4 linked regions of the Diceros bicornis minor genome follow. The protein of the gene in region 1 binds, or shares a complex with, the protein of each later gene. Links are inferred from orthologs where the notes say so. Each region holds a gene or a part of one and is shown in the gene's direction. Other genes may lie near its edges.

Region 1 (7,621 bases):
CTGTGGGACAGGGGCATGTTGTGAGCAGCTGGGAGGCCCGGCCTGGACAACTCACAGGCCAGAGCCAGTGGGGCAGCCACCCAGGCTGCCTGGAGAATCGGGATATTGAACCGGTTTCTCGCTGCTCCCAGGCCCAGTGTAGCCGCAGCGCTGTCACCTCTCCAAGCCCCATCATCACGGTCCCACCTCCAACACCCCCCCAGAGGACTGCACCATGCTTGCCCCTTTTAGCCCATCCACAGCCAGAGGGGGCTTCACAAAGTAAACTCAATTGTGTCCTGTGCTTGCTCAGAACCCTCCAGTGGCTTCGCACTGATCTGAGAACAAAATCCAATCCCCTTACCTTAACTGGCAAGGCCTAGTGTGATCTGCCACTCCCACCCCCCACATCCAGCATAGGGGTTAAGACCCTGGCCTTAGAGAGGATCTGCCTTGGTTAGAATTCTGGCTCTTTTCCTCATTCATTCATTCAAAAATGTTTATTGAGCACCTTCTATGGTCCAGGCACTGTCTAGGCATTTGGGATACATCAGGAACAAATGAGACAAAAATTCCTGCTCTCACAGAGCTTCCTTTCTAGCAGAGAGAGATTAACAGTAAATATAAGTAAATTATATAGCATGTTGGAAAGTGAAAAATGTTATGGAAAAAAAGAAAAAGTAGAGCAGAGGAAGTGGATCAGGAATACTGGGAGTGGGAGGGTTGCATTTTTAAATAGAGTGGTCAGGGTAGGCCTCATTGAGAAGGTGAAATTTAAGCAAAGACTTATAGGAGGCAAGGGAGGGAGACATGTAGACATCAAGGGAAAGTGCAGGCAGAGGGAGCAGCCAGTGCAAAGGCCCTGAGGTGAGACTATGCCTGGCTTGTTTGAGGAACAGCAAGGAGGGGGGAGAGAGGTGGGAGATGCCTCAGAGAGGTAGGGCAGGTCACATAGGGCCTTGGGGGCCTCCGTGAGGCGTTTGGCTTTTACTGAGTGAGATGTGAGCATTGGAGGGTTTTGACCATGAATGAGTGGGGGACGCAGGACCAAGATGGAGAGGAAGTCAAACAGGGCTTGTGGATGTCGTATGGGTGGCAGCTCAGCCTGATCCCAGAGGGGAACTGTGGAGTATAAGTTACACCTCAGAGTTATCCGCCTACACGCCAGCATCCCAGGCAAGGCAGGTGGACTTTCCTATCCCTGCAGTGATGGGTCACAGCGTGGAGGGAGGGTAAGTCTCCCCGGAGCTCCGGCAGCCTGAGGGCAGTCCTCCCAAGGAGAGAAGGGGTGCTGGTCACTGAACACATACCCAAGGGGACACACAGAAACAGTAAAAGGAGACTCAAGGGGAATGGGTGGAGCATCATTCTTGTTGGCTCCAGTCCCCAAAGGCCAATGCCCCAGCAGCTACCTTCCTTTCAGCCCGGGCTTGAGGTGGCTAAAGATGGGGGCATACCCCAGTGTGACCAGGGAGAGTTTTTCTGGTTAGGAAAGACTTAGGGATCATCCCCACCCAGGCTGCAGAAGGATGCACCCTCTGCAAAATCCCGACCACGGAGCAGTCCAGTCATATAGACCTTCTGGGATGGGAACTAGCTACCCTTGAGTTAGCTCTGCTCATTGGATACTTTGGATTTTAGAAAGTTCTGCTTCATGCTGAGTCCACTCATTCATTCCATAAACACTGACTGAGCACCTACTGTGTGCCAGGCACCATTCTAGGTTCTGGAGACATTGCAGGGAACAAGACAGACTAGGTCCCCGCCCTGAGGAGCTCACGAATAGAGAGGGAGATGATTAGAGAAAAAAGATGGTGTGGTAAGTGCAGAGACAGGAGAAGCTCAGGAAGCTGTGGGGGCCCCAATTGTTGACCCTTGGAAATAGGTGACACCAAGCCAACAAGTGGGGGATACGTATTAGTTACACAGGTATACAGATGTGGGAGAAAATTAACCCAGGCTGATGGAGGAGTGTGTGCAAAGGCCTTGAGAATCCCACCACTGCTCACCATCCCCACTGCTTCCCTGGTCCAGTGACCATCCTCTCTTACCTGGATGATTGCAGCAGCCTCCTCTTGGGTCTCCCACAGGGGGGCAAAGAAGCTGGGCTATGCAGCCACTAACTCCTCTCTCTTCTTGGTTGAGGGCTGCTCCTGTGGGTAACTCATCGGCTTTCCCCACTCAACCTGCATCCGTGAGCTCAGAAGCAGGAAGCCACAGGCCTGTGCAGCAGTGTCTGCAGGCGACTGCCAGGGAGGGCCTTGCCCATTTGGACAGGGCACCTACAGCCCTTTCTATAGCCCCATATGCTTAACGCCGCCTTCCTCCTTCTGCCCTCATTTCTTACCTCTCCTCCTTGCTCATTCTGTTCCACCTACACTGGCCTCGCTGTCCTTCCAACTTGCCAAACAAAGGCTCATCTCAGGGCCTTGGTGTTTGTTGTTCCCTCTGCCCGGAATGCTCTTCCCCCAGATATCCACATGGCTCACTCCTCACCTCCTCCGCATCTCTGCTGAAATGCCAACTCTTCAGAGAAGCCCTCCTTGACCACCTTTTCTCAGACAGCTCCTCCCTCATTCCCTCTCCACCTTGGCCTGCTCTGTTGTTCTCAAAGCACTCGTCACCACCTGACATATGATACATTTACTTGTCCATGTGTTTATTGACGGTCTCTCCCACCAGACTGGAAGCTTTCTGAGGGCAAGGACCATGTCTGGTTTTGTTCCTGGTGGAATCCCTATAACAGGGCCAGGGCAGTGAATAAATATTTGTGAAATAGATGGTTCTGGAACATAAGTGGTTCTGAAGCAAGAGTTTTTCCAGGTCTGACTGTCTCAAAGTCTTGGGTATGACGTCCCTCCCCAACACTTCTAGAGGCCAGGGGTGCCCTCTAAGGGCCGGTCACGGCCAAGAAGCTGCCAACCCGGGAGGCTCCCTCAACCCTTCCCCATCCGGGCCCAACTAGCAGGGGTCAGGGGTCAGCCTGGTCCAGCCCTCTTTGGGCCCCAAAGAGGAGACCCAGTTCTGGGGTCCAGGCCCCAGGGAGGCCTGGTGAGCCCAGTTGCTCCTTTGGCAAATGTTCCCCCTTCCTTCACAGGGCCTGTGTCTGCGTTTCTGAACCAGAAGGTGTTTACACAAAACATCCTGGGTTTGGCAACAAATTCACCCTCAGTGAGGAATCCTTAATGAATCTCCTTCTTTCTCCATGCCAGGCGGCTGCAGGGATAATTAGCTGGGCCTCTAGCAGCTGAAGGAAGCCAAAGGCCAGAAAATGAGGAGGCGCTCCTGGGACTGCTGGGGCCACAGTTTGGGGAGAGTTTCTTTTCAAGATCCAGAGACAGCTGTGGTTGGAGACCAGAGCGCTTCTAGACTCACGTTTGCTTCTGATATGTGTGTGACAAAGAATTGCCCTTCTCCCGGCCTCAGTCTGCAGCCGTGAAATGGGGCAGTAATAACCCACCCATACAAAGGTTGTTGTGAAATTCAAGTAAGGCAAGGGGTGGAAAGGGCTTGGTTCCAAGGGGCCAAAAGGGGAGAATAAGACGCTGGACTCAGGGAGGCAGGAGGTCAGAGTTCTCGTATCAGGTCTGCTGTTGACTTTTTGCAGTCCTCATCGCCCTCTGAGCCTTGTTCTTCTAGCCGTACACAGAGTGGTTTGGGCATAACGATCTCTAGGGAACTCGCTGGTTATGAAGGGCAGCCACTTTCCACCTGCCTGCCTCTTCTTGGAGGTCCTCCCGGATCCTACAGTCCACAGTGATTCGCTTTCCGGAACTCACAGACTTTATTGCTCACTGCCCATGGTTTTCCAGCCCCTTCCTTGGGTCTAGGTCAACTACGCTGGACATTGGGCCCAACACAGGGGTTCAATGAACACTGGTCAAACTGAATTGAAAGTGATTCCTGCCTCCTTCTAGTCCTGCAGAGAGACAATGAGGGGGATCTTTATTGACTTCCGTTTTATAAATTGGAAACTGAAGGCGTCAGAGGTTCACTATAAGTCACACTGCCACATGGGCCTCCTTGGTGTTCCTCAAACAGGGGAAGAATGATTTATATTTCTCCAAAGCTCTCTCACGCGCTCCAGCCGCGCCCCAAAGCAAGGCCCCGCCTCCCGTGTCCGGCTGGCGAGCGTGCGTTGGAGCCTGCGCGCCACGGTTCTGCTTTAGTTGCGCATGCGCGCCGGCAGGCCTGTCAGAGCGGCGCCTGCGCAGGCGGAGACGGAGCGGAGCTAGAGTCGGCTTGTGTGGGAGCAGAGTCCGAGCTGGTGGGCTTCATGCTGTCGCCCGAGGCGGAGCGGGTGCTGCGGTACCTGGTGGAGGTGGAGGAGCTCGCCGAGGAGGTGCTGGCGGACAAGCGGCAGGTGGGAGGCCCGTCCGCGGCGCTGGGGCCGGGGTTGGGCGCTTGCGGCCTGGCGGCGGGCGCCGTGGGGAAGCGCGCGGGTCCGGAGTCTGGCTCGGGCACCGGCTCTCAGCGAGTTGATCCGGGCAGGTGCGCTGATGGTTGTGACGGTTGTGAGATAATGTGGGTCAGACGCTTGGCACAGCGCCGCGCTTCGCTCATTTATTCGGCCCCCATTAAGTGAGCGGCTGCTCTGTGCTAGGCCTTCCCTCTCCATCCTTCCTCTGCCCCTTGCCGTGCTGTCTGGATCCTGACCGTTGCTCCTTTGGGCGGTGTACGTGAACACGTTTTTCAAAATGCAGTTCCTGGGCCCCCTAATTGATCTAGGCTACACCGCCCGGGTCCAGGCCCTGAGGGGAGAAGAGGACCAGAAAAGAGGCCTGAGTGGTCTTGTGATGGCGCGGGAGTGGGGACGTTGGAGGAAGGTGGGGCGCATCAGGGGGGACCTTGTAGACCGGCCCAGCGATTTGGGTCTGGTTGTAATTGAAGTGTCTGAAAGGAGTTCATGGGGGCGAAGGGAGGATGATGGAATTGGATTTAGGTTTTAAAAGAATCCCTTTGGCCTCTTGTGGGGCACAGAATATAGTGGGGGACAAGGGGCCTGTGAGGGGCCATTGCCATGGTCCAGGTGAGAGATGCATTTGGACCAGGGGGGCGGTGATGGAGACAAGAGAATGGGTCTGAAATATATTTTGGAGATGGACTTAGTGGGCCTTGATGATGGTTACATAGAGGGGTGAGGGAGTGGGAGGATCAAGAATGGTTCCTGACTGCTCATCTGCAGTTAGAAAGATTGCGTGGGTGGTCGGGTATTTACTGAGAAGGGGAAGAGCTCATTAAACACTGCATCAAGGTGAGCTGGGTGATAGTAATACTAGCAGTTAAAGTTTATCAAGTACTTAGTGTGTGTCAAGTACTGTGCTAAGGAAGGTGAAATTACACAGCTCGTAGGCAGCAGGATTCAAGCCTGGTCTTGGGGCTCCAGAGCCAGTGCTCCCAGGCAGTATACCTCACTACCTCCTCACTTCCTTATTAGCTATTGCCATGTTACCACCATCTCAGTGCCCCCACCCCTGCTGTTCCAGTCTAGTATTTTAGGATTTCTCATGATACGAGGTCAAAATCAGATGGAGGAGCTAATCCAGGGAGAGGACTCCACTCCCCTGGTGATTCTGAAATGCCCAAGAGCTTGAGAACTAGTGCTCCAGTGGGTAATAAGAAATTATCCGTTTAGTCAGCAAACGTTTTCCCAGCATCTTCTCTGGGAGGAAGACACCTGCACAAAGCGTGGTCTTTAAGGACCTGGAAGCTGAGTGGGGAAAGAGAAACATTCATACATCAGCCCCTTTTAGACAGGACATTGGAAGTAACCCAGGAGTGACGCCTCGTTCTCTGTTAGGTTTTAAGAGCCCCTGGTCTGTTGGGGGGTGACAGGTAGGAGCAAGAGGCAGCTGAGTTCCCTCCTGCCCCTGTGCTTTTCAGATTGTGGACCTGGACACCAAAAGGAATCAGAACCGAGAGGGCCTGAGAGCCCTGCAGAGGGACCTGAGCCTCTCTGGTAAGTCAAGACGACATAATTACGTAATTGAAAATTGGGGGAAAGCCGAAGATGGAACTGGACGTGGGGTAGGTGTTGGAGGAAGGGATGGGGTTCTTTAGATGAGGCCAAGTGGCTGTGACAGGGTAAGCAGTGGGGGAGGGGTGCGTGATAAGGCTGGAGAGATGGGCAGAGGCCAGGCCATAATGAAGGGCCTTGGGGGCCGAGGGAAGAAGTTCGAGTTTTGTTTCAAGCGCCCTGGAAAGCCTGAAACCTTCCAGTTGCTTCTCATCTCACCAGAGTAAGACCCAGTCCTGCGAGACCCCAAGTAGTCCAGACCCACTTGAACTCTCCACGATCATCTCCTCTACTCTCCCCATCACTCACTCTCCATCTACACTGGTTTTCTTGCCGTTTCTAACACTCCAGGCACATTACTGAGCTGTTTCTGTTTCCTCTGCCTGGCTCGCTCTTTCCCCAGATGTCTGCAGGGCTCACGTCCTCACTCTCCTTACTTTCTTTGGGTCTCTGCCCAAATGTCAAAGAAGTGAGAAATTTCTCACACTGAGAAATTCCTCTCAGTGAGACCTTCTCGGACCACCTGGTGTAAGTAACAGGTCCCTCGCCTACTCTGGCATTGCCCATCCCTCTCACTGTGCTTTATTTTTCTCTACAGTACTTAGACTTGTCAGCGTCTGACAGAGCATATCTTTGCTTATTTGTTTCCTCTCCACCATTACAGCATAAGCTCTATGAGGGCAGGAACTTTGTCTTGTTCTGCTGTGTACTCAGCATCTAAAACAATGCCTGGAAGATAGTAAGTGCTCAAAAAATATTTGTTGAGGGAATGACTGTTTGCCATTTCAGAAGATGTGATGGTTTGCTTCGGGAACATGTTTATCAAGATGACTCACCCTGAGACGAAGGAAATGATTGAGAAAGGTAAGGCCTCCTGGGCACGGGTCAGGGACGCGGCTGCCTCCCACCCAGCCTCTGTCTTAACCCGGAACTGAGCGTCAGGCTTTGGGCAGCTCGACGAGAGGCGGCTCTGTTGACGGGTTCAGACTGATGTGAGTTTTAATCCCTGCTTTGCTGCCGAGTTATTTCCTCATCCCTAAAGGTGGGGTGCATCTATGTTGTGAAGTTGAGATCTAACAGTATGCCTGCCCAGCATAGTGCTTCTTTATCAGTGAGGAGCAGGGTGGGCCACAAATAACAGAAAACTCAACAAATGGAGGCTTAAGGAAATAGAGGAAGAAGTTGTCCAGAGGTGAGCGGTCCAGGACTGGCTCTGCTGTTTAGCAGTGTCAGCTTAGCATAGTCTCATGGTTGTTGTGTCCTCGCTGCAGGCCTCATGTCCACGTGCCAGGCTGGAGGAAAGGCAGAGGGCTTTCTCCATATGTGACCTTGCCTTCTATTTTGGAAGGAAGGCTGCCCTCCTCAGGGGCTTCCGACATCTCCTAGGCCAGCACTAAGTCTTATGGCCGCCCAGAGCTGCAGGGGAGCCTGCAGCGGGGGGTGAGCTTTGATTTTTCACATCCCCTGCAAGAGAGACTGAGTTGAAAATGCAGGTTTGGAGAGAGTGAACCTCTACGGTCTGCCACAGCCCAGCCCCTCCATGTATGTTACTCAAATCTTCACAGCCATGATCTTGGAGGCTCTTTGGAGAAGCATCATGAAGGCAAAAAGACAGGCTACAAATGG
Region 2 (8,324 bases), on another chromosome or scaffold:
AAGCCCGTATCATCTTATTTATGTTCACATATAATTGCTCTCACCCAACATGCAATATTCACCTTCCTTTTATGAAAGGCTTTTATATCTAAATAAATAAATTACATATATATATTTTTTTTTTAAAGGAAAGCCTCACAATGGCATTTAAAACACCTACTCCTTGCTCTCCCCTACTGATTTAATAGACTCCCCTGAGATACTATTTAAATCTTTACCTGTCATGTAATTTCTTTTAATAGTGATTCTAAACATTTCCTTCATTGCTAATTGAGAAAAAAGCTATAATTTCTAAGATTTTCTCAACTAACAATCTGCTTTCAAAGTACATATCTATTCATCCACAACCATACATTAACAAAGATTTAGTGGTGACATTATGCATAAAATACAATCTTGACGACTTTTTGAGACCAGCAAAATATTAAATACAAATGATGACAGTAATTTTCTCAAGATCACATGCTTACACGTCAGCCAAAACTATCCGCGTCCGTGTCACATTCTCTATGGTGAATTTGGTTTTTCCTCCTTTGCCAGCGATTCTTCCTATTGCCCTTGACAGGTGGTCTCCCTTTAAGGGCTTAACTAAATGAGAAAAGCAAGATGTCAAGAGGTAAGCCATTCCAGTGTATTCCAGTACACCACCACTTCCACATAAAGTTTAATCATTAACTAAATTTCCCTACTAAAAGACACGAAATATGTATTTTTTAAAAAGCTGCTAATAATATAGCTCAATTGATGTTATTAGAAAGCTGACAGTCACACACAATACAAAAGTACAGTATTTCATAAGAAAGACTACCATACACTCACCATCCGTAATTTCAAAAGACTCCAGGAAGAGGTCATCCAACCTAATAAGGGCAAGTGCGTCCTACAATATAAAAATAAACACCTGAGAATGAGCGGTAAGCTAAAATTCACAAACTGTAGAACTAGAAAACTCAAAAAAAAAAAAAAAAACCCAAATCCATTGAAACATTCTTACTCAGTATTTTTCAAGCCCCCATTTCAGACGTCATGAAGTCACTCACCTCCACCTGAAACCCGAGAATAAAGGCTTTCACAAAATCAGCTGCTTTTGTCAGAGCACTAACATCCTTGGTTTCTTTACATGTCTGTTAAAAAAAAAATTAGCACAAATTATAGCTGGGGATGAAAAAGACAATATTCTAACAAAATACCTTTCCCATTACTGTAATTTCCTTCACCATCACCCTTCCCCAATATATTCTCTATGACTCTGTTTTTGGTGAGGTAAGTACTGTGTTTAATTTGCAAAATAAAAGGTTCCAGCTCCACAGCTGGGCAGTTCCACCCAAAGACCATCAAATGACCGACGATGCTCCTTGCCTGATTGGATTCTGGGACGATCAGCAAGATGCCTCTGGCAGAGCCCAATCGCTCACATTCTGAAGGGCTCCAGCCCCCGGTTCATCCCGTCAATGCCCAAGTTGGTCGTCTTCCCCTTCAGTCCAGTCTCCTGGGAGTCCTGATCTATCTCCTGACTTCAGTCATTATTTACATGCTGATGTTTCCCAAAGCAACAACTCCAGGACTAATACCAAGAATGGTTTAAGCAAGGATGGTACCCTCATGGAGTTTATTCAATAATCACAGAAATAGCTGCTATTCCTAAAATGCCTACCACTGTAAAAGATGCACTACAAAGGTACTTTGCACGCTATAGCTCTAATCTTCACGACAACTCTGAATGTTAAGTAATATAAATACTTTTACATATACATATATATTCTTTTTTGGTGAGGAAGATTCACCCTGAGCTAACATATATTGCCAATCTTCCTCTTTTGTTGCTTGAGGAAGACTGTCCCTGAGCTAACATCTGTGCCAATCTTCCTCTATTTTGTATGTGGGTCGCCACCTCAGCGCAGCTGATGACTGGTGCAGGTCCACACCCGGGATCCAAACTGCGAACCCCAGGCCGCCGAAGCAGAGCCCACCAAACTTAACCACTATGTCACGGGGCACCCAATACTTTTATATTTGAGGAAACTAAAGTACTAAAAAGTGGAAAAAGTGAGATTGAACACAGATCTGATTCCAAAACTGTTATTTCCACTCTTCCACTCACACAATCTAGTAGAAGAGACCACATATTTGACAAATTTAAAACAATATAGGGCTGGGGCCAGCCCGGTGGCGTAGTTGTTAAGTGCGTACACTCCACTGTGGCGGCCCAGGGTTCGCTGGTTCGGATCCTGGGCGCACACTGACGCACTGCTTGTCAAGCCATGCTGCGGCGGCATCCCACATAAAGTAGAGGAAGATGGGCACGGATGTTAGCCCAGGGCCAGTCTTCCTCAGCAAAAAAGAGGAGGATTGGCAACAGATGTTAGCTCAGGGCTAATCTTCCTCACACACACACACACAAAAACAATACAGGGCTGTGTAATGGCAAATTTAAAACTAGAGCCCAGTCCCAATCCTATATGTGACCTTGGGCAAGTCCCATAGACACTCTAGATCTTAAGCTTTCTCACCTGTAAAATAAGGAGGTCAGAGTAGGAGATCCTGAGAGGTCCCTACTAGAGTCACGATTCACTTATTACCTTGATGACTTTGGCTAAGATACTCCTTTGCCCCTCAGTTTCCTCACATCTATAAGATGGGGATATGTAAGTCATCCACCTCATAGGGCTGTCCTAAAGATCAAAATGATGTAGTGCATGCCAAAGCACCACTCTGTGTCTGGCAAAGAGTAGTATCAGCAAATGTTAGTGGAATCCAAATTGATAACACTGCAATACACAAGACAGCTAAGCACAATCGAAGTCTAGGCACTGACGACACGACTGAAAAAGGGACCCATCATAAAGGAGAAAGAACTTGAGCTAGACTCTGAAGGATGACTGGAACTGAGGTAGGAAGAGAAAGGGGGTAGGGAGGAGAGGGCCTTCTTCAGAGAGCAAAGCCACCCATAAGTGTGAAGATACAAATGTTCAGAGATGGTGAGACGAACTTAGGACTGAGACTTGTACTTGAAAGGCAAGTTCAGTCAAAAACTTAACTTTTATCCTTCAGAGACACTGAAGATACCAGGATATCATAACAAAAGCAGCATGGTCTGGGAAAATTAATCTGGCTCTGGCATAAAGGGTGGAGTGGTGAAAGGAGATTTAAAGCAATGAAACAACAGAAACCCATAAGGAAACAAGAAGTTTTGGCATGAAACCAGAAAAACCTGAATGAAAGTGGCAGTGGGAACGAAGAGGAGTTCTACTGTCAAGTTCTATATTTTAACCTTTACCAACTATTTAGAGAAGGGCCTCTCTGCATTATTCCATTATTCTGGTCTCTCAACAGAGATAAGTCTATAACAGCATTAACAGTCCTCAAAATGGAAGATGTAATTAATTTTGGTCATTGATTATGAAACAAAGTTGACATCCAGAAAAAGAAGACATAAGTCAATTAATTTTAATTGTCTAATTTCTGGACTGACATCATGGAATGAAAAAAAATACATATATATATAATTTATACTTATTCTCAAAATAATACATATTTTTCCCCAAAAGAATACTTTTAAAATATATATTGCCTGTACTGCAGCAAGCACTTGGGTTCATTATTTACATACTTCTGTTTATGATAACCTCTTTACTGGACCTCTTTGTTTTTTTTTTGGTGAGGAAGATCAGCCCTGAGCTAACATCCATGCCAATCCTCCTCTTTTTGTTGAGGAAGACTGGCCCTGGGCTAACATCTGTGCCCATCTTCCTCCACTTTATATGGGACGCTGCCACAGCATGGCCTGACAAGCGGTGCTTTGGTGCGGGCCGGGGATCCGAACCGTGGCCACCAGCAGCGGAGGGCACAAACTTAACCACTACGCCACAGGGCCGGCCTCTGGACCTCTTCTCAATTCAACAGAGAACATTATTGTACAAAACAGGCACAGGCATAGCCAGTATTTCGATCTCAGACCTAACATATGAATTTAATTAATATTTGTGTTAAACGCAGACCCTGAAGGCATTTGAGAAGTTCAAACTCACTAAATTAGAAAACTGGAAGAAAACCATTTGATAAAATAAGTCCCGTTAAGGAAAGTCTATTGGTGCATTTTCATCCCTGTAGGAGAAACCCTGCTATATTTGGAAATGCCTGACATTCTCCTTACCCTGATTTCTACATTCCTCGATTTCAAGTTAAAGCGTATCTGAAGTCCCAAATGTTCTACAATAGGAGTAAATATCTTCATCCAGTTCTCTTTTAACGGCGTGTATCTGTTAGCTGGGACTGGCACTTTCCTTGTTTCTTCTTTCCCACCCTACAATAAAAGAACACACAACTCAGGAGACGTCTGGAGGAACGGGCGTGGAGTTGTAAAGTGACAGCCCATCCACAAAAAGCTTCCTTTAACTGAACGAATTAAACTTCAGCAGAGTTACTTCTCTAATAGAAGTCAGAAGAGCCCCAGCAGCTTCAACATCACCCAGAGACCACCGGCTTGACCCGCCTCCGGCCCCTGCCCCGTTTCTGTCCCAGGGTCCCGCCAGTACCAGGAACCCGTCCCCGGAGAGGGGCGGGAAGACGGGCCTCTTCGCGGGTCGGGCCTCCTCGGTGTCCATGCGGCCCGCGTCCCCGCCCTCCCCCGCTGCGGACAGCGGCTCAGCCTGCCGTTTCTTCGCCCGCCGGCCACCCTTGCGGGTGACCTGGGTGAAGCCGTCCTCGGCCCCGACGCTCTGCGCCTCCATCTCGGTTGCCATCCCCAGGAATCTCCAGTCCCAGTGGGCGCTTCCGGCTCGACCACGTGCACTGCTGTACTGCGCAGGCGCACCTCCCGCAATCCGGCGTTCGCCAACCAGCCCCAGGGCTCCTCCCCCTTCCCTGAGAGGTCCCACGCAGGGGACCTGAAGCATGATTTTGTGTGTGTTTGTTGGTGAGGAAGCAGGGCTATCCTACAATATGCCTGATTCTTAGAGTTTCCCTCTGGCCCCGCTATTGGCAGCCAAAGTATTCTGTGATCTCTAATCTGTGTATGTGCGAAAGGCAGTAGGTAGAAACGATAAACGTTTGTGCCGTCGTGAAGAAAAATCTTGTGTGACTTCAGTAGCGCATCTGGCATTACCTGAGACAACTAAATCCAACTAGCGAGGGTTTAGGGGCGAGTACGCAAACGGAAGGGACAATCGTCAATATTTGGAGTCTGGTTTCCAGGTTAGTGTTTTGTCAGGGTCTGGGTGTGCCGGTTGGCAGAGGCGAAATCGGCTGGACCATGTCGGCCTTCGAGAAGCCTCAGATCATCGCTCATATCCAGAAGGGCCTCAACTACACGGTGTTTGACTGTAAGTGGGTGCCCTGCAGCGCCAAATTTGTGACCATGGGCAACTTCGCACGGGGGACCGGCGTCATTCAGCTGTACGAGATCCAGCACGGTGACCTAAAGCTGCTTCGGGAGGTGGGTGCCGGGTCGAGACTGCGCAGTTGTGGGATGTGGAAGTGCCGTTGTGGGGCGAGTGCGGGTCCTGGGGGAGGGAGGGGGTCTGCATTTCTTTTTTGCCAAAGCCTTCCTCCAGGGTTCCCGAGAAGCACAGTTCCAGCTGCGTGGGGCTAGCAAGCTGATCGCAGATTGAGGAATACTTCCGACATTAAACGATTTCGTTCGAGTCCTGAATTCTCCTCGGCGGGCTAGTTCATCTGCGCCCTGCCGGCCCCTTCCTCCATCTACCTCCAGCTACCCTCGCAGTCCAGCGCGAGGTCTCTGAAGTGACGTTACGATTTCGTGTCTAACTTGGAGGCCCTTCTGGGCGGTGCGCAGTTCTTTGTGGAGAGTCTGTTAATAGTGTGTTAATAACATGTTACCATGTTAGTAACATGCTTTTTCCACACAAGCAGAGCCAAAGCAGGCACCAGAATGCCTGCTGTGTAATTGGAGGAGACAACCTAACATTTATTCTCTAAACTAGTATCAGTTGATTGCCTGGTATTCCCAGACATGTGAATGACAAGGTCCCCGATCTCTTGGAGTTTATTTTCTAGTGGGAGAGAGAATCAGTTAAATAATCAAATCAACAGTGCACAAATACAAACTGAGATGAATTCTCTAACATAAAGGAACGCGGTTCTCTGAGAGTAAAAACAGGTTTGGGATGAGTAGAAGCTAACCAGGCCAAACTAGGAGTGGAGAAGGTTTCCAGAGGAAACAGCATATGTGGAGTTCAGCGACGGGAGAGAGGTTATCGCCTTAAGAAATATGAGTGGTAAGCAGGGACCAGAAGTCGCAAGATCTGTAGGTCATTTAAAAGATTTATGCTTTTTTTCTAAGAAAAATGGGACAGTGTTGAAGGGCTTTCAACAGGGTGTAGCAAGATCAGGTTTACAAGTTTTGTAAAGATCACTAGCGAAAGATTTGGAGAATAATGACATTAATTAACATTTTTATACCTGTTTACAGTTTTAAAAATGCTTTGACTTGGGTTGCCTGAAAAAAAAAAAGGTTAGTCATACTCAGGTGTTTAGGGTTAATAGACTGCAGGGAAGGCTGAGAACTCCAGAGATCAAAAGCTATGGAGAGAATCTGCTTGGAGGAGCTAGGGGTTAACCTGGTAGGTAAAGAATGAATACAATTTCCATAGAAAAGCTTAGATTAGAAGGTATGTAAGGCCCCTTCCCACTTTAGATTTCTATGAATGCCAGTTCTCTTGTTTAGTTTGTCTTCTCTAGCCAGGCACTCTACTCAGAGATCCTAAACATGGCTTGTTCTTTTCCACCTTTCCTTATGTTGTTCACCCCTTAGGCCCCAGTCACCTATTTCTATTCTGAGGTCCCGTTCAGATGATCTGATTTATGAAGTTCCTTCCTTAGCCCCACACAAAATAACTGTTCTTTACATTGCATTCATATGGTGCTTATTATCTGTGCCAGAGATATATCCTTCTGTCCCGTTTACCCCTGATTGGAGTGTAAGCTCCTGCAGAGCAAGAACAGTGTCTTTCTTGAGTGTGGTTTGTAAGGAGCAGCCACTCGATGAATGACTTGTTAAGAGAATGAGTAAATCTATGTCTGTAAAAGGATCTAACTTGGGAAACTTAACTATTGATTTACTGATCATTAATCAGTTGGAGTCCGGAGATTGAACAAATGGGAAACATTGGAATAGTAGAAAGAAACCTAATGGTGAAGTATTAGGAACCAATCAAAGCTTAAGCAGAGAGCATCTACAGGCTTGTGACTTTTTTAAATAAGACTCTATGACTTGTGTACATTTCAGGAATACACTTGTTCCATGAAGTGAAATAGTGCTCTTTGTCCCTTCTAGAGATTCTGGAGGATTCTAGCAAGTTTTTAAAAAAATAATCTTTTTAACAAAAGTTTTGTGTGTTTATGACAGAGCGTTTTAAAAATGTGGGTAAGAGGAAAATTACTATCAGCCATAATCTCAGCCCTAGGAGTAACCACTTTTTATATATTCACCTGTTTCCTTTGGGTCTTTTTTTTTCTGTCATAAACCATCTATTAAGACCCTATTATTTCAAGGTACTATGCTAAAGAAGGACCAAAGGTATTTGAAAGATGAGTCCCGTCTCCTCAAGAGCCTGCTGTCTGAAGAGAGGATAAAACATGTAGTAACACATTTAAGAACTTGTATTTGGCTATGATGATGCAGTGGAGAAGAATATAGGTTAAGTACAGGGTCACTGATTCCCATCTCTTACTGTGCATCAGGATCACCTGAATGTGTCTTGTTGCTGTTGTTTGTGTGTATGTGTGTCTTTTAAATATTCATGCCTTGGTCCCACCCCTAGAAATTCTGATGCACTGGGACTCGTGCGTCTAGACTAGAGTGAGGCCTAGACATCAGTATTTTTTAAACTTCCACCAGGTGATTCTAATGAATACCAGGGTTAACTACCATTGGACTAGATGAATTATTTATTAAAATGTTAGGAAACATTCTTGATTCTATCCTTGTGGAACCACCTCAAGTCATGTGCTCCAAACCCCATGCTTTGTATCCAAGATAAAGAGGAAGGAAGCAGATAGGTCTTGTTGATGCCTTCCTCGTCTTGTTGGGTAGATAGGGAATGAGGGCAGGGCCTCGTACAGATAAGCAGTTGGTTACACCACACATAGGTGCCTGGCCAAGGGTTCAGGTGAGAGCTGAAGTCCATCTATTTCTCATCAAGCCTTACAGATGTGAGACTTCATCAGCCTGTAAAGGGCACCTTTTTTCGAGTTGGTGCAAAGGACTAGGGTGGCCTGAAGAATGGAATTATAGTTGGGGATGTTTACACTTTAAAAATTAGTAATAAGCTAATAAAGTTCTGCTTTTTTAGCCCCTGTGCCAC
Region 3 (7,632 bases), on another chromosome or scaffold:
ACAGCACTATTTCACACCTCATTGGGAGAGACAGGAAGGAGACTTCTGTGGCTAGAAATAAATCTGTTAGAGTATACTGAGAAGGCAAGGAAAAACACAGTGGTTGAGGAAACTATTCATTCAACCTTGGAATCCAGGTTAATAATACACATCACTTCCATAAAATGTTCAACAGTGAACTATGTATTGTTAAACACAATGAAATATACTAAGAATGTAGCATCAGAGGAAGAGCATAAATAGCATTGATAAACACAAAATTATCCTATTAAGTAGGATACATGACAACAATGGACTTAAATGAAAGAAGGAAACAGCCTAGTTAGTTGTACAGTGGGCTGCAGATGGGCAGTCCCGAACCAGAAAAGACAAACGATACCAGGTATCCCTAAAGCGTGACTTCAACCAACGCAGGAATTACAGCAGCTGAAGGGGAAAAGAGAAGCAATTGGATAAACATGAAAAAATAAGATAAAATGTCAAAGAACTTTGAAAACAGTTTAGCACCATACTAATATGACCATCACCACTTGGTTTAGTATTATGTCATCTTGGGTGGCCCCTGTAAATAAACAAAAACATTAGAACCAGGCAGAGCCATAAGCAACAACTCACCCCCAGAACAAGGTGAACAGCTGTAGACCCATCAGCAGTGTTTCCGGCCACTGAAAATGGAAATGATTGTGGGTCAAAGAGTCAATTCGAACATTACCCAGAGCTCCCACTCTGCCAGCCACTGCCATAGAAGGTGGGGTACAAAGAAGACTAATATGCCATACATATTAGAGACTAATTTGAAGCTCAGTCTCTTCAGCTTTACAGATAAGCCTCACCTTTACCTCCAAGCACTAATAAAATGACATCCCATGTGTCAGGGGAGGTGTGTTCATAGGTTCCCACCAGCTCAACTGTGGTGAACTCTAAAGGTGTTGGTGAATGGAGCCAGAAGATGGGTTAAAAGAATGCCAAATTTTAGTTTTTAATTAATATAATATTTGGAAGTAAAGTTTAAAAAAAATAATTATCTTGTGACTAAAGCTTCAAAACTGCGTTTTGCCAAAGTTTTAACATATTTCATAGTTTCTTTTCAGGATCAGGTATTACAAATCAAGGCAAATAAAATCCGCTTTCATCAAACCTTCTCCAACTTGCTATACTTCCTCAAGTTTCATCTTTTACTGTGCTCTTTCATATTCTGGAACAAAAGGATACTTTACTTTAGAACTATCTTTTTCCTTGCAAACAAGGCTCATCCCATTACCTTGCATTCTCTGTTACTCTTGCCCCTAATGTGATCTTAGCCACTCACATTAGTTATAACTTTTAACCAATTTAATAACTTCTATTTCATAGAAAGAACTGGAGGTAGATAATTGAGAACAGTCATATGCAAGCATTTTAGCAAATGAAGCTCATAAGTACACATAACACAACTGTCTACAGCCACACACATTCCCTTTAAACCTTCTGAAAGTGGGAAAAATGAACATGTCCATTAACATGGCTCAAAAGGATAGCTATTCTATGGCAAATAAAAACAAGAAGCAAAAGTATATAAACTTAAAATTATGCTTCTATTAATCAATGTTTCAGGATTCAACTTTTAAAAGTAAATTATCTAGTTATCTAATGATTAATCATTAATTAACTCAATTTAATATTACCTCAGAGTTTTAATTACCTAAATATTTTTGAATTATGTTTAAACTTATATGGTATAAAACATAATTACTGTTGATCTAAAAAGTCTGTCTGAATAATTACTCGTTTTAGTGAACACAAATTTACATTTTTCATAAACTTAAATATTCCATAGCAGTAATGCTAGCTTATTTAATCAGTAAACCAACATAAAGAGCATAGGAAATTCAGATTAGCTAATCTCTTCATGAGAAAACAAATCTAAGTGTTATTTAAAAAGTACCTGTATTTTACTTAACATTGATAAATATAGAAAAGATATATAATTGCCTTTTCTTTCTTAAACCAAAATTATTAATCTAGCCTGATTTCTCCAAAGACTCACCTTAATTTTATAAATTTGGATTCTTCAAATATTTCTAAGCTAGCAGCTTTTGTAAGCAAGACTTTTTTTCTTATAAGTCTAGCACTCAAAGTATTAGAAATTCTGGGGGCCGGCCCCGTGGCTTAGCAGTTAAGTGCACGTGCTCCGCTACTGGCAGCCTGGGTTTGGATCCGGGCGCGCACTGTCGCACCGCTTGTCGGGCCATGCTGAGGCCATGCCCCACATACAGCAACTAGAAGGACGTGCAACTATGACATAAAACTATCTACTGGGGCTTTGGGGAGAAAAAGGGAAAACAAAGGAGGAAGATTGGCAATAGATGTTAGCTCAGGGCTGGTCTTCCTCAGCAAAAAGAGGAGGATTGGCATGGATGTTAGCTCAGGGCTGATCTTCCTCAAAAAAAAGAAAAAGAAAAAGAAAAAGAAATTCTGGGCTTTTTTTAAATTGGGAGATTTACACAAATGCATATTTGTGTCTGTAGACCAATCAGAACAGAGTTCCTCTAATTTAAGAGACATTACAATGGAATTTATTAATACCCTCCAGGAGTATGAAAACATTTTACATTCACACAACAAGATATAAAGGCTATTCTAAATTATAGACACAGAGAGAGCTTATAGCTTCAGTTTTACAACCTCAATCCCAGGTTGAAAGTAAACACAAAAACTCACTAGCCCAGATCTCAAAAACCTGTTCTCCTTTCCAGTGAGCATGAAATTCTTAATTAACTTGAGCTCACAAAGGACAAACAAAAAGACTAAAAAACTGGATTCACTGTCATGTCTTTTCTAATAGAGACTAGATCTCCATCATCCAACAGATATCACCAAATCATTAGACCATAAAACCAAATTCCCAATCACTGCTGCTACCCATGTATAATAACTTATCAGCCATGCGTAAATCAGAAACAAAACCAAAATTTCTAAAAATCAGTAAAAATTAAAAATATACAGTAAACAGTTCTATAACCACTTCGGATTTACTGTAAGAGGCAATAAAAGAAATGCCTGGGCTGAAACAACCCACGACATACACTTCCTTAGCCATACAGTTTGGCTCCATCACATGAGCTCACTTGGGCATCTCCATGGAAACTTAAGATTTCTTATGTTAAAGTATAATTTTCAAAAATATAAAACCACGTCTCTCATACACATGTAAAATGAACATAGGCCAAAGTTTTATTCAGCTCGTTAATTAATGAGGGAACAGGTAAGATGTTAAAACCAATTCAGAGAGTTTATGAGAAGCTAGGCATATATAATAAAGAAATGTTAGGATAGGATTGCAGAGTTAGATACAAAACTGCTTAATATATTACAGAACAATAATTCATAATCTGTGGGGTTATCTGGCCCACCAGATAGAAATTATTTGCATCTCTGCCAGACAAAAATCTGCACGTTTACCTCTGCCTCTCCAGAATTGTTAAAATACCCCAGTCAATAGAAAGTCAAGCCCAGAAAAGCTGTGAAAGAACACCCAGTAATCTCTCGCCTATTTCCAAGTCTTGGATAATTTTTCTCATTGGAGCGAGATTCTGAAAATATTGCAAGGGACATACTTATACTAAAAAATCATTCATTTATCTGAAATTCATATTTAACCGGGCATTCTGTATTTATCTTTTAACTCCAATAACAAGTTAACAAAAACTTCACCAAGTCTGTACAGTTCTGTTGCCAAAAACGTGTCTCTTAAATCTGTGCCTAGCTTCACATCCTTGCCTAGATAATAAATATTGTCTAGTTCTACTGCGCTTCTATTCTTTATATTGACCACTGGGGGGCGCATATAACTCACAGTCTACAGAACGCGAGGGAGTGGAGACCACAAGGCCGTTTCCACAGCCGATCCGCTAGCGGACAGTTCAGGAACCTCTCCGATTTCACAACCAGGCTCTGCTCACGCGCTCCCTAAGCATCTGTGCGCACGCGCGGAACTGCTCCCACGCCAAACCCGGACTGCGCAGGCGTTCCAGTGAGTGCGCAGAAGCTATTGGTAGGACTCATAGGGAAGGAAACGAGGGGGTGGAGCCGCTGGGAGCGCGCACGCGCGGAGGCTGGGGGCTGAGGGCTGGAGGCTGGAGGCTGGAGGCACCTGGGGAGGCACCTGGGGCGCCAGCTGCGCTGCGCGTCCCGCGTACCGTTCCCTCGGTGGAGATGCCTAGCCGGGGCACACGCCCGGAGGACGGCGCCGGGCTGGTCCCTACCGACGACTCAGCCCCTCACAAAGAGGATCTTAGCAACAAGGTGAGTGTGGGACGAGGCGAGCGGCCCGCAGGCTCGGGACGGAGCGCCGCTCAGCCCCGGGGGAGGTCTGCCGCGGCCGCGTGGCCCGCTCTCGGCTTTGCCCAGCTGCTTCTCTCTTGTTATTCTTAGCGTTCGACAGCTACAATTAAGGCAGACCCTGAAGTTTGCACCGAAATTAGACCCAGGAGGCAGTGAGGCGGAGATTTGGTTGGGGTTTTTTCTCTTTATTTAAACTTTTAGAAATACTGCCCACCCCAGATCTGCCGCCGATGTTCTCTATCTCAGAAAAGTCACCGCCAACCATCCAGTTGTCCGTGCCAGTAACCCGGGAACCATCCTTGACGTCCATCGCGAAGTCCTGTCAGTTCTGCTTCTGAAGCTCATTTCAAATATGTCCGTTTATCACCAGCCACCTTCATCTACCCTGCAAAGGCTTCCTAACTGGTCTCGCTTCGTCCATCATTACCTTCCATTCTCTTCTCCACATCAGCCAGAGCAATGATCCTAAAACACGGATTTGATTGTCACTCCTCCATCCAAAAAGGGGGCAGGAGGTGGGGACAATATAATATATATCTTAACTGCCATAAACAGACAAAACCTTTAAAAAATATATAGGAGATGGGGATGGTTATAGCTTTTCAGGTGTTAGATGTCCTAGATTCTACTTTGGTTCTGTCCCAAACTAACAGTGACATCTTGGGCAAGTCTCTAATAACCCCCCCCAAGGGTGAATTTTCAAACCTCATACAGCCCACTCTGATTACTACCAGAGCAAGCCACTTATACTGATGTATGACAGATGCCTGAGGTTCCTGAGGTAGGACAAAGATTTTATAAAACCTGCTTTTAGAGGCAATAGTGATACTATGTAATCAGTCATGTTCACAGAATAACTACCTTTACTGAAAAGAGTTAGAAAAAAAACTTTGTTTCCACTTAGTGGAGCCCTCTCCTATTTCGAGGCCTAGTTCAACAGTGCCAGCATTGTGTTAGTCTTTGAGATATAAAGAGGAATAAAGCAAAGATGGAAAGTGATAGGTCTTACTGCCCCAGGTAGGGCATTTAGTACCACTTGCTTGTTCTGAATGTCTGGCTGCACCATTTATACATAAATCATGAAAACCATTGGTATTGGGGGGGCGAGTAACTCACCCCTCATTCCATTTGCTGGGTTTTTTTCTTTTTTTAAAGCTAAAACATAAATCATTGAAAAACTGGTATTACTTTGTGTGCATATTGTGTAACTAAAAGGTATAAACCTTGTTTAGTAACTACCGCCCTTGCCTGGATGCTGGTTACCAACACCAAACTCCCTGGCTGGGCTCAATGGGCTAACACTTGGCAAGTCTACTCATTGTTTCCTCCTCCAACTCTGTCTCCCCCTCCTCGCCCCAGACTGCTGTTGACAAGAGTCCGCATAGTCACAGACTGCCCGTTATGGCCCCTATCCCATCTCTCTAATTTTAAAGCACCCTCATTGAGCATACTTTGAGAACCTCTGATTTAAGATGTTTTTCTTTATTTCAATAGATTAAAGAACAAAAAATTGTTGTGGATGAACTTTCTAACCTGAAGAAGAACAGGGTGAGTTATTGGAGTAATTCTGAATAGTATGTGGGAGGGTTTGATTGTATCTTATTAACTATATACAAAAGTTAAAAGAATCATATATGACTTATATTTATATTAAAATTTACAAGATTTCAGCATCTTTTTAGTTAAATTGCAACAGTGAAAAGCATCCAAGATTTTATATATATATCATATATAGATATCTATAGATTAATCATAGTTGATGATATCTTTTCCCCATCATGTGCAATTCACATTACCTTTGAACCAAATGATACAAATTGTACTGTGGTATCTTGGAGCTATAATCAGTAATGTTATTTATTTTATACTTGAATGTGGTATTTTCTTTTGAAATAAGTGAATTTTATGTTGAGAAGAGTGGAGACTATTTCTAAGTGAATGTGGATAATTGTTGGAAAAACAAAAAAGATAAATGCTTCCCCTCCCTGCCAAAAATTTTTACACAGATCTTCCAAATATTTAACATGGTTATTTAATGCTATTTCCATTAATGTATTCATAACAAGCAAGCTACTACTTCATGTGTAGTTATACTATCAAAAATTACATTTTAAAGTTCAGGAAGAAATTATTTTGAGCCCTTTACAGCATTTTAAAGATAATTTGATAACTGACAGGTTAGACATTTCTCATACTGTCACTTGTGGAATATTAGAAGTTAAGGCACAATTAATACAAACTTTCTAGAGGGCAAGTTGGCAGACTGCTTTATTGAAGCTTAAAACTGTGTAACACTTTGACCCAGCAGTTCCATTTATAGGAATTAATACTTAGGAAAGAATCATGGGAGTGCACAAAGATTTAGTTACAAAGACGTTCATCACAACATTGATTTATAATAGTGAAAAGTTGGTGACAACTTAAATGTCTAAAACTTGAGGACGACCAAATAAACTGTAGTATGTTATACTCATATAGTAATGTAAAAGAACACTTACTACTGAGAAAAAGTGTTCTCAATATATTGTTCAGGATAAAAGCAAATTATAAGTCTGTAGTTACAGTAGCCTTTTTTGTTAAAGAGAAATGGTATTGTGGTATATGCAGAGAAAAAGTGTCACCTCAGTGTGAATGGTAGCAGTTTCTAGATGGTAGGATAATGGGTGACTTTTGTTTATTTGTATTTGCTAAGGTATATGTTACTAAAGTTCAAGAATAAGCAATAATAGGGTTCAGAGATTTGACATCTACTTTTTAGATCAAATCATGATATTAGCCTAAATTATGTTTTGCAGAAAGTATATAGGCAGCAACAGAACAGCAACATATTCTTTCTTGCAGACCGAACAGAAATGCTTTCTGAAAGCAAAAGTAAGTTTCTTTGGGATGTTATTTGGAAACACACAGAAAGTCTTTTGTAGGCTTTCTGTAGAAATTTATGGTAGTGCATGAATTATACTATCTATATCTGAATGTTTAACTGTATAGCTAAAGATTGGACGGTGGTATACCTGTTAATAAAATTAATGCGGTGATTTGGTTTTCTTCAAATTAGCCTTCCAAAGATGAGTCTACAGTAAAAATCAATTAAAAATACATAAGATGCATTAGAAAGCAATAATTAACATGTGCTTTAGAGTTTTAGACAGATCTAGTTATGAAAAACTGTTCTACCACTTTCTACCTTTGTGACTTTGAGTGAATTACTTTGAGCTTCCAGAGTCTTGTGGCATTTAAATAAGATGGTATATATAAAGTGCATAGCCCTGCGCCAGGGCCAACAGAAGCATTTAATAAACGGAGACTATT
Region 4 (8,098 bases), on another chromosome or scaffold:
GGTAGGGTGAACCAAGTCATGCTAGAGTATTAAAATGAACTTCTGTGCCTGTTAATTGGAAAAATATCTCCTAGAAGCAAAAGGTGCTGTTTGAGTGATGGGAATAACCTGACTTGGGCATGGCCCAATCAAGGGAACCTTCTGCATTCAGGCAAGGATTTCAGAGGTACATAGAAAAGAACTAGTCCTGGGGAAGAGGTAGAGCTGCTGTCTGGTGATGTTCCCGACTGTGCTACTCTGCTATTTAACCTTTCAAACTTGGGTTGTAAACTCACCCCTTACTGCAACCACTCCTATGTATCTTCTCTTCCCCACAGACATCAGACTGCGGGTTCGAGCTGAATACTGCCAGCACGAGACTGCTCTGCAGGGCAATGTCTTCTCTAACAAGCAGGACCCACTTGAGCGCCAGTTTGAGCGCTTTAACCAGGCCAACACCATCCTCAAGTCCCGGGACCTGGGCTCCATCATCTGTGATATCAAGTTCTCTGAGCTCACCTACCTCGATGCATTCTGGCGCGACTACATCAATGGCTCATTACTAGAGGCACTTAAAGGTGTCTTTATCACAGACTCCCTCAAGCAGGCTGTGGGCCATGAAGCCATTAAGCTGCTGGTGAATGTGGATGAGGAGGACTATGAGCTGGGCCGACAGAAACTCCTGAGGAACTTGATGCTGCAAGCATTGCCCTGACCTTTTCCCCTTTCTCACTTCTCTGGGGGACTGTTCCCACCACCCACCTCTGGAGCTTACATACTGTTCTGGGGTTTGTTCTCTACCCTTCCAACCAATCACACCCCTGCCTTTTTTTTTTTTTTTTAAAGGAAAAGACAAAGGAAAATGGAAGTGGTGTTCCCCACCCCTCCCTGCACCCATGTGCCTGGGCTTCCCCTTTGTTCCCCTTTTCCACTTATCCCCCTAATGTATGTCTCTACAGCCACCTTGCCACTGAGCCGTAAGACAAATGTATAGAGAGAAGCAAAGTCTATGGAACATAGTCTTTGTAAGGGATTGAAGTGAACACTGCTTTTGGGTGCATTGAGGGGTTATCAGTACTTCTGGCTTTATGGGGGCTCTTAAATTTTGTCTGAAAAACCAAAGGGCTGTGAGTAAGGGAGCTATGTGGAAGGTGGGACTCTGAAGTGTATTTTGGAAATTAATCACCACCCTCTCCCAAATTATAGAATTTTTAAAAAACAAAGAAGCTGTGGCCCTTTCCACTCTCTCCTGGCCTCTGGTGCTGCTCCTCTCTGCCTTGTTTCCTCCATTCCATGGCTTGAAACCTCTGCCTGGTGTGGTTCCTTTTCTTCCTTTGTCAAACCCTCTTCAAGGGAGTAATAGGTAAGAGGACTAGGTCAGCCTAGTCGCCTCTCCCAACTGTGGTGTGTGTGTGTACACACATACACAGGGTGGATGGAGAAGTTGTTGCTAATTAAAATACACTCCCCCTAAAAAGGGGAAGGGGGAGTGTGACACTTTCCTTCCATGTTCAAGTGAAAATAAATAATGTACCCTGCAGCCCTTTTCCCCTTTGCTTTCTTATGACTTGGGCAAAGGGCATCATAGGTGAAAGTGAAGTAATTCAATATCAACTCCTTTCTTCTTTTTCCTTCCCCATCCTCTACCCCCAATCCCACTCCCAAGCTTGGGAGCATGGGGCTGGGACATGCACTGAGTGTTGCACTTTTATTTAGGTGGGGAGGCATGTTGAGTGAGCCAGGAAGCCTAGAACTGGAGCCCAGTCCAGCTGGTACAATACCACCTCCCTTTCAGCTCCCAGAGGAGATGTCCAGACACAGACTTTATGATTATATTTTTTTCAATGCCAGTGCTGCTCAGCCCTCAGCGTAACTTCAGTTTTCATGAAATAAACAGTGACTACATAAAATTCCACTTTTCTGAAACTGAAATCTGAGCTCAGGTGCAAGTTTCTTCTTTCCCAAGAAGCTGAGCCTGTGTTCCATCAAGAGAGTCAAGGTTCCCCAAGTGAGGGGAGCTGTGCCTGGGTCCTGCCTACAAGTCACAGCAACACCAGCTCACAATGGGGGTCTCAACTCACAGAAGTCAAAAGTCTTAAGACCGTGGGTGACCCAGATTGCCATAGAGGTCAGGCCTGCGATGCTGGAATACAGGCAGGTGTTGGCGCAACTGTCGCAGATAATTGAGGTCAATTCGGGCAAGGCAGAGGCCTTGTCCCTCAGAGCAGCGGGCCACCACTGTTCCCCAGGGATCCACCACCATGCTCTGGCCATAACTTGATCTCTTCTCATGGTGGCGTCCACACTGTGCTGCTGCCACTACATAGCACTGGGTTTCAATGGCACGTGCCCGCAGCAACACCTGGGGATGAGGAGATGTGTGTTCGCGTAAGTAGACACAGGTGCTAGTGGGGAAGTGATAAGCAATGGACATTACAGGCCAATATACCCATCGGGGCCATTCTGATAATTGTTTAGGAATGATTTATTTATTCTTTAACATAAGTTAGGCAACGATCTGGGGAATGAATTTTCTCACTAGCTGGGAAGGGGAAGAAAGTCTTTCAACTGGTAGGGCCAAGGGAGAAGAATGAGGTCAAGAGAAGGCCCTTATATTTTGAAGAGGTGTCCTCTTACCTCCCAGTGGGCTGGGCCTGTTACAGATCCAAAAGCTGAAGGGTAGGTAAGTATTTCTGCTCCAGCCTGAGCCAATGCCAGAGACAGTTCAGGGAACCGCATGTCATAGCAGATAGCTAGACCAACCTGGAAAGAAAACGAGCCTAGTTAGCCCCCCTGTCCTGTGTGTCACAGCATCTAGTTATACCCCTGCTACCCATTCCTTAGGGCTTTCTATCCTCTACTACCAGGTCAAAGTATTCCTAATTCCCCTCCCTCTTGTTTGCCCACCCTTATCCTTTCACAACTCCCACCTTGCCTGCTGGTGTGCTGACAGGTGACTCAAGACTGGGCCCAGGCAGGGTAGAATTGCTTTCACGCATAGGTCCCTGCCCTGGAATCTCTACGTCACACAGATGTGTCTTCCTGTAAGTGGCCACTACTGACCCTAGAATAAGAGAGAGAAGGAATACTCAGTGCTGGTGCTTTAGAAGCTCAGCTTAGTTCTTCTCCTCCCAAGGAGGAGACAGTTTATAGGTATGAACAGAAGTACAAACACCCTGAAACCCTAGGCCGAGGAAATAGAGTTGAGAAACAAAACAGAATTCTGGAGAATCTTAGTTTAGGTAGAAGAGCCTGCGAAGAGGCAGGCTAAAGAGTTATGAAGTCTCACCCTTGCTGTTCAGAAGCACATGACAATTGTAGATTTTCTGAGTCTGCTCCCAGTCTTGGCCACGCTCATGGAAACCACCCAAGGACAGCCAGAGTCCACATTCCCTGGGAGGAAGGGACACTGACAACTCTTCTCAAGGCTCTACTCATATCTGGCAATCCAGGGACACTGCCCAACAAAGAAACTACCTCTCCCTCCCCCTTTCCCTGATACCTGGCAAGCTGGGTATATTCTCCCAAAAGGTTCCCATCCAGTGGCTCAGACAGGCGTAGCGTCTCTGCAGGATCTCGTGCAATGAAGTCAAATGCCTCAGGCAGAAAAGCCAGGCAAGAGCCCAGTCTGGCAGCCTCTCGAACTAGCTCAGCACAAGTTTTAAAGTTCTGCTGTTTGTCAGGTGTCGATGTTACCTGGCACACAGCCACAAGGGGCAGTTCACAGGAGGAGGAGGAGATAGCCATGGCTCTGGGTCTGTGGATGGCACAGGCAGGACTCACTTCCCAGCATGGGGAAATCCAAGTTTGATGATGAAGGGATCAAATGGGGAGGAAGGAAGGCTGAACTGCCCTTTGATTCTGTTCTCACAAGGCACAATGACCCACCAATCAAATGTTCTGTGGATGGCTGGTAGCCCAGTGTTTCCCACCATCCATTCATTTAACAAACACTTATTGAGCACCTGCGATGCGCCAGGCATTGAGGACACAACAAAACACGGTTACCTGGGCTGAGCACAAAGTACTGAGAGTCGAGGTAGCCGGAGTCCAGGACACAAAAGAAGGGACAGGAGCTGGTGAGGAGGCCTGATGATGAAGCCCAGCCTGAGGAAGATGAGAAATCAGGAAACCAACCCGTCCCTCAAGCGATAAATCTCTCGGATTTTCTGACTTCTCTCTTCATACTGTGAGGCTAAATCAGGGCTCTGCCAGGAAAAACTCCCGTCTTCAAAACACTCTTTACTATAAATAATTATGGGCTACAGGAAGAGATCATAAAGTGGGAAGATGGAGAAAAGGGCTCTGCTCGGCACCTGAATACCTCGACTTCTAGTGATCTCACATTAACCTGAAGCCCTTGTCCTCTGCCAAACTTTTCTGCAGTTCAAAAGTCACCCCCGAGAAATTTCCTTGGTTTTCTCAGCCTCTCTCCTTGACTGTGCACCTGCACAGCCTTACTGACTCAAAGCATATTTTCCCCATTACACCACAATCTCTGAGTGGAAGTTCACCCTCCCTGGTTCCCCACCACCCCGTGGTAGGCAAGGGGCACCGGCACCCGAATCCCAACCCGCGCCCCCACTCTCCAGTTGGCCCGTCCTTCCCCGCCTCCCTCAGGGGTAGCGTCTCTGCTGCACAAGTTAAAGCACCACAGGTGGAATTCACCGCGGCCAGCGGGCTAGGAAGCAGGTCCTACATGAAGGTACTGCCAAAACCATTCGCAGGATCCGAACCGAAAAGCGGCCTGGAAGCAGAGGCGCCGGGGGCGAGTGGGCGGTAACTCCGAGACCGGACGTGACGCAAGGCGGGGGCTGAGCTGCGCACGCCGGGAAGCCAGCAGGCGGCGAAGATGGCGGAGAGCAGCGGTCGCGCCGGCAAGAGCAGCGGGAGTGGCGCGGGGAAGGGGGCGGTGTCGGCAGAGCAGGTGAGGCGCGGAGAACGCGGAGGGGGCCAACGCGGCTGGGCGTGGAGTCGATGCGAGAAGAGCGGGGAGCCTGAGGCTGGTGCAGGCCCACATTTGCGTGGCCGCCGAGAGAGGGGAGGGTACTTGGAGAAGCTAGCCGAACCCCCGGGGAGAGAGTGGGCGGGTTGGTGGGTGAAAGCCACGCCCCCCTTGGGGTGTTGGTGAGCCTGGGGGAGGGGAAAGCCCTGAGATGCAGGGTCTGGGAGGATGCACAGGTCTGAGGGGAGATAGTCGTCACTTTCCCCACCTCTCCGCACCCTCAGACGGGGTGTGTATGGCAGGGCAAGACAGCTGGTAACGGATCTCAGGGTATTAGTCAACGGGCTGGTTGTGTAGTTTGTTACGTGACCCTGAAACCACGTTGACAGTCGCCGTCACTCTGCAGAGCCACGTGCGTGACTCACATACTCGATAAGTCTAGTGTTCCATACTATTTTAATTTGGGAGTCATTGTTAGATTGAATTTCTTTAGAGACCAGAAACCGTTTTTAATCCGAGTTTGCATTTCCCCCAGTGCCTGACATCGAGAAACGTTTGATAAATTAATTAGAAAGCCCTTTGAGGCTTGGGAAACCATGGTTTGCTGATAGTGGGGCTAGTGTTTAATAGAGGTAAGAAACCTACATAATATAAAGAAAAACGCAGTTAAACAACAGCTCTTTAAATTATAGTTTTATTTATCAGTTATTTGTTGAACAATTACTACAGGCGAGGGTATCTGCATAAAGATTTTTCAAACTGACCTATGCAGTCAAAGAGCTCATAGTCTGGTGGGAAAATAAGACATACAAAATGCTAATATGAGGCAGAAGATAAATTTTATCTTTAATAAAATTTATATTATAAAATTTATAAATTAAATATGAGGTATAAAGTGCTATGGGGTTTTGGGGAGGGGGGAAAGAGAGAGTTTCTGGCTTAAGGGAAAAAAGGGAAGTGAGAGGGAACCTAATACCCTTTTTGAGGGTCTGCCATGTGCCAGGAGCTCTGGTGGGTACAGGGAAACAGATAAATGAAATAGACTTTGTTTTCAAGTTAGCTCCAGACTCATTTGAGAAAAGACAAACGAAACAATAAGATGTACAGGGTTACACAAAGGCCCTTCTTTATGGCAGCTAGAGGAGGGACCTCTAACTAAGCAGGAGGTTATGGGATTTGAGGCATGGGTGGAGAAGGCAAGCTGTGGTATAGTGGGGTGGCCAAGAGTGTCAGAAGTGCACTGGGGTCAGTGGGGTGGGTCAAACCTGTGTTTGAATCACATTTCTCCTGCTTACTGTCTATAGATGACCTCCCATGAGTTAATTCTCTCCACCTTCCCCTCCTATAAAAACATAATGGTACCTACCTCATCACTGCGTTTGATTATTAGGCAAGACAATGCATGCAGTGTTTTGCACAGTGACTGTAATATACTGTGTATTTAATAAGTGCTAGTTATTTTGTTTTCTAGAGGAAATAATCCTTCAGCTCAATTCTAAAGGATGAGAGAAGTTAGTGAAGCAAAGAAGGAAGTGAAGGATTTTCTAGCTAGAGAGAATAATGTGTTTAAGAGCACTAAGGCATGAAACTGCCTGACATGTTTGGGGTGCAGGTGGAGTTAAAGTTTAGGATGGACTACCAGACTTGAATGTGGAGAAAAAGGGATAAAAGAGGATGTGTCTCAAGTTTTTGTCTTTGATGGATGCTGGTGCCATAGGGAATGTAGGAAGATGGACCAGTTTGGGGGGAAAATAAGTTCATTTTAGGATTTTGAGTTTGGGTTTCTTGTGGGACATCCTGGTAGAGACATTTAGAAGGCGGTTTGATTTATAAATCTTGAATTACAGAAAGAAATCTGAGTTGGAGATTCAGATTAGAGAACTATGAGTTTATGAATGGTAGATGAAACCATGATTGTTGATGAAGTCATCGGGGATTTGTACAGAAAGTGAAAAAAGAAGCAGAACAAGGGTGGAACCAATAGTTAAGGGGTTAAAGAAAGAGAGCCCTCAGAAGGGACTGAGGAGTTGTGATAATTGAGTTCTGAGGCTGTTCCTTGCTTAACATTCTCTTGCCTTTGTGCTTGTGTTCCAGAGAGAACACTGGGTAAAAAATAGAAGATTTATCACTGCTGCAAGTTTGATCCACATATGTCCCTTATAAACAAGATGGAAGCAAGTAACACATTGTGCTAGGCACTTCACTTGTTTTATCTTCTGTTATTTAATTACAGCCATTCGAAGTAGGTTGTATTGTCCTCCCTTTATAGATAAGGACATTTGAGTTTCAGGGGCTTCAGTGAATTTACCCAAAGTCAGTAACTGGAAGTGCAGGGCTTTTAATTGAGGGACTTGAGAAGCAGACCTATTTTTTCCGTCTATACTATGATCATATTAGAGATATTTGGGCTGAACCTGAAGGATTGGATAGATTTGAACAGGCGGTACTGGAAATAGAATGTAGGGACAGAGTAGGAAGAGGAGAGCTAGGGAAAGCTTAACTTGACACAAAGTGCAGTGACTGCTAAATTTGTTTAGCTAAATCATGAGGTGTAAGTCAGAAAGATGTGGCCATTAAGGCAAGCTGAGTCTTTGCATGGCAGAGAATTTAGGACTTTTTAATGTAAGCAGTGAGGGAGTCACAGAACGATATATATTATACTATTGACTTTTTTTCCCTGTTACATAAAATAATACATGTTCATTGTAGAAAATGTAAAAACACAGGAAAAAGTACAAAATAAGAAATAAATTACCCATGATGGTACTAGTAGTATCCAGAGATAACTGTTCTTACCATTTTGGAGTATATCCTTTGAGAGGTTTTTCCTCCCTCCTTTATGTTTTTGTATATGTGTGTGTAGATGGAAAGAGAAGGCATGTGTATTTTATGTATTTATGTATTTTGTTTTATAAAATTAGTATTATACAGTATATACTGTTTTGTAATCTACTTTTTAAGCCTAATAATATATCATGAACATTTTTCTGTGTCATCCAAGTGTTAGGAAAATTAAATTAGCAGTAGTGTGTAGGATGGATTTGGAGAGTCCAAAAATAGGGAGATAATTTAGAAGACTCTTGCAGTAGTTCAGACAAGAGATGATGAAGACCTGAACTAGGGTGATGTTAGTGAGCCTAGGAAAAATTGCTGATGCAATAAATCTAGCAGTTG

Evidence for each region.
Region 2: PDRG1 (region 1) and DNAAF10 share a complex: the UniProt entries of both Homo sapiens proteins name them as parts of the PAQosome complex. The link is inferred for Diceros bicornis minor from reciprocal best matches to the Homo sapiens genes PDRG1 and DNAAF10.
Region 3: PDRG1 (region 1) and ASDURF share a complex: the UniProt entries of both Homo sapiens proteins name them as parts of the PAQosome complex. The link is inferred for Diceros bicornis minor from reciprocal best matches to the Homo sapiens genes PDRG1 and ASDURF.
Region 4: PDRG1 (region 1) and PFDN2 share a complex: the UniProt entries of both Homo sapiens proteins name them as parts of the PAQosome complex. The link is inferred for Diceros bicornis minor from reciprocal best matches to the Homo sapiens genes PDRG1 and PFDN2.

The regions. Positions count from the first base shown.
Region 1 is NC_080758.1:27,578,387-27,586,007, forward strand, and holds the start of PDRG1 (p53 and DNA damage-regulated protein 1), read left to right. Parts: upstream 1-4,184; 5' UTR 4,185-4,255; coding exon 4,256-4,342; intron 4,343-5,862; coding exon 5,863-5,938; intron 5,939-6,784; coding exon 6,785-6,859; intron 6,860-7,621. UniProt on the Homo sapiens protein: May play a role in chaperone-mediated protein folding.
Region 2 is NC_080751.1:20,032,696-20,041,019, forward strand, and holds the start of DNAAF10 (dynein axonemal assembly factor 10), read left to right. Parts: upstream 1-4,940; 5' UTR 4,941-5,251; coding exon 5,252-5,434; intron 5,435-8,324. Other genes in the region: RNA-binding protein PNO1, read right to left, coding at 471-588, 820-880, 1,041-1,124, 4,154-4,303, 4,536-4,742. UniProt on the Homo sapiens protein: Key assembly factor specifically required for the stability of axonemal dynein heavy chains in cytoplasm.
Region 3 is NC_080749.1:68,664,597-68,672,228, forward strand, and holds the start of ASDURF (ASNSD1 upstream open reading frame protein), read left to right. Parts: upstream 1-4,114; 5' UTR 4,115-4,194; coding exon 4,195-4,284; intron 4,285-5,817; coding exon 5,818-5,871; intron 5,872-7,118; coding exon 7,119-7,194; intron 7,195-7,632.
Region 4 is NC_080743.1:67,691,293-67,699,390, reverse strand, and holds the start of PFDN2 (prefoldin subunit 2), read left to right. Parts: upstream 1-4,802; 5' UTR 4,803-4,831; coding exon 4,832-4,906; intron 4,907-8,098. Other genes in the region: DEDD (death effector domain-containing protein), read left to right, coding at 318-694; NIT1 (deaminated glutathione amidase), read right to left, coding at 2,075-2,341, 2,617-2,742, 2,910-3,043, 3,269-3,372, 3,482-3,726. UniProt on the Homo sapiens protein: Binds specifically to cytosolic chaperonin (c-CPN) and transfers target proteins to it. Binds to nascent polypeptide chain and promotes folding in an environment in which there are many competing pathways for nonnative proteins.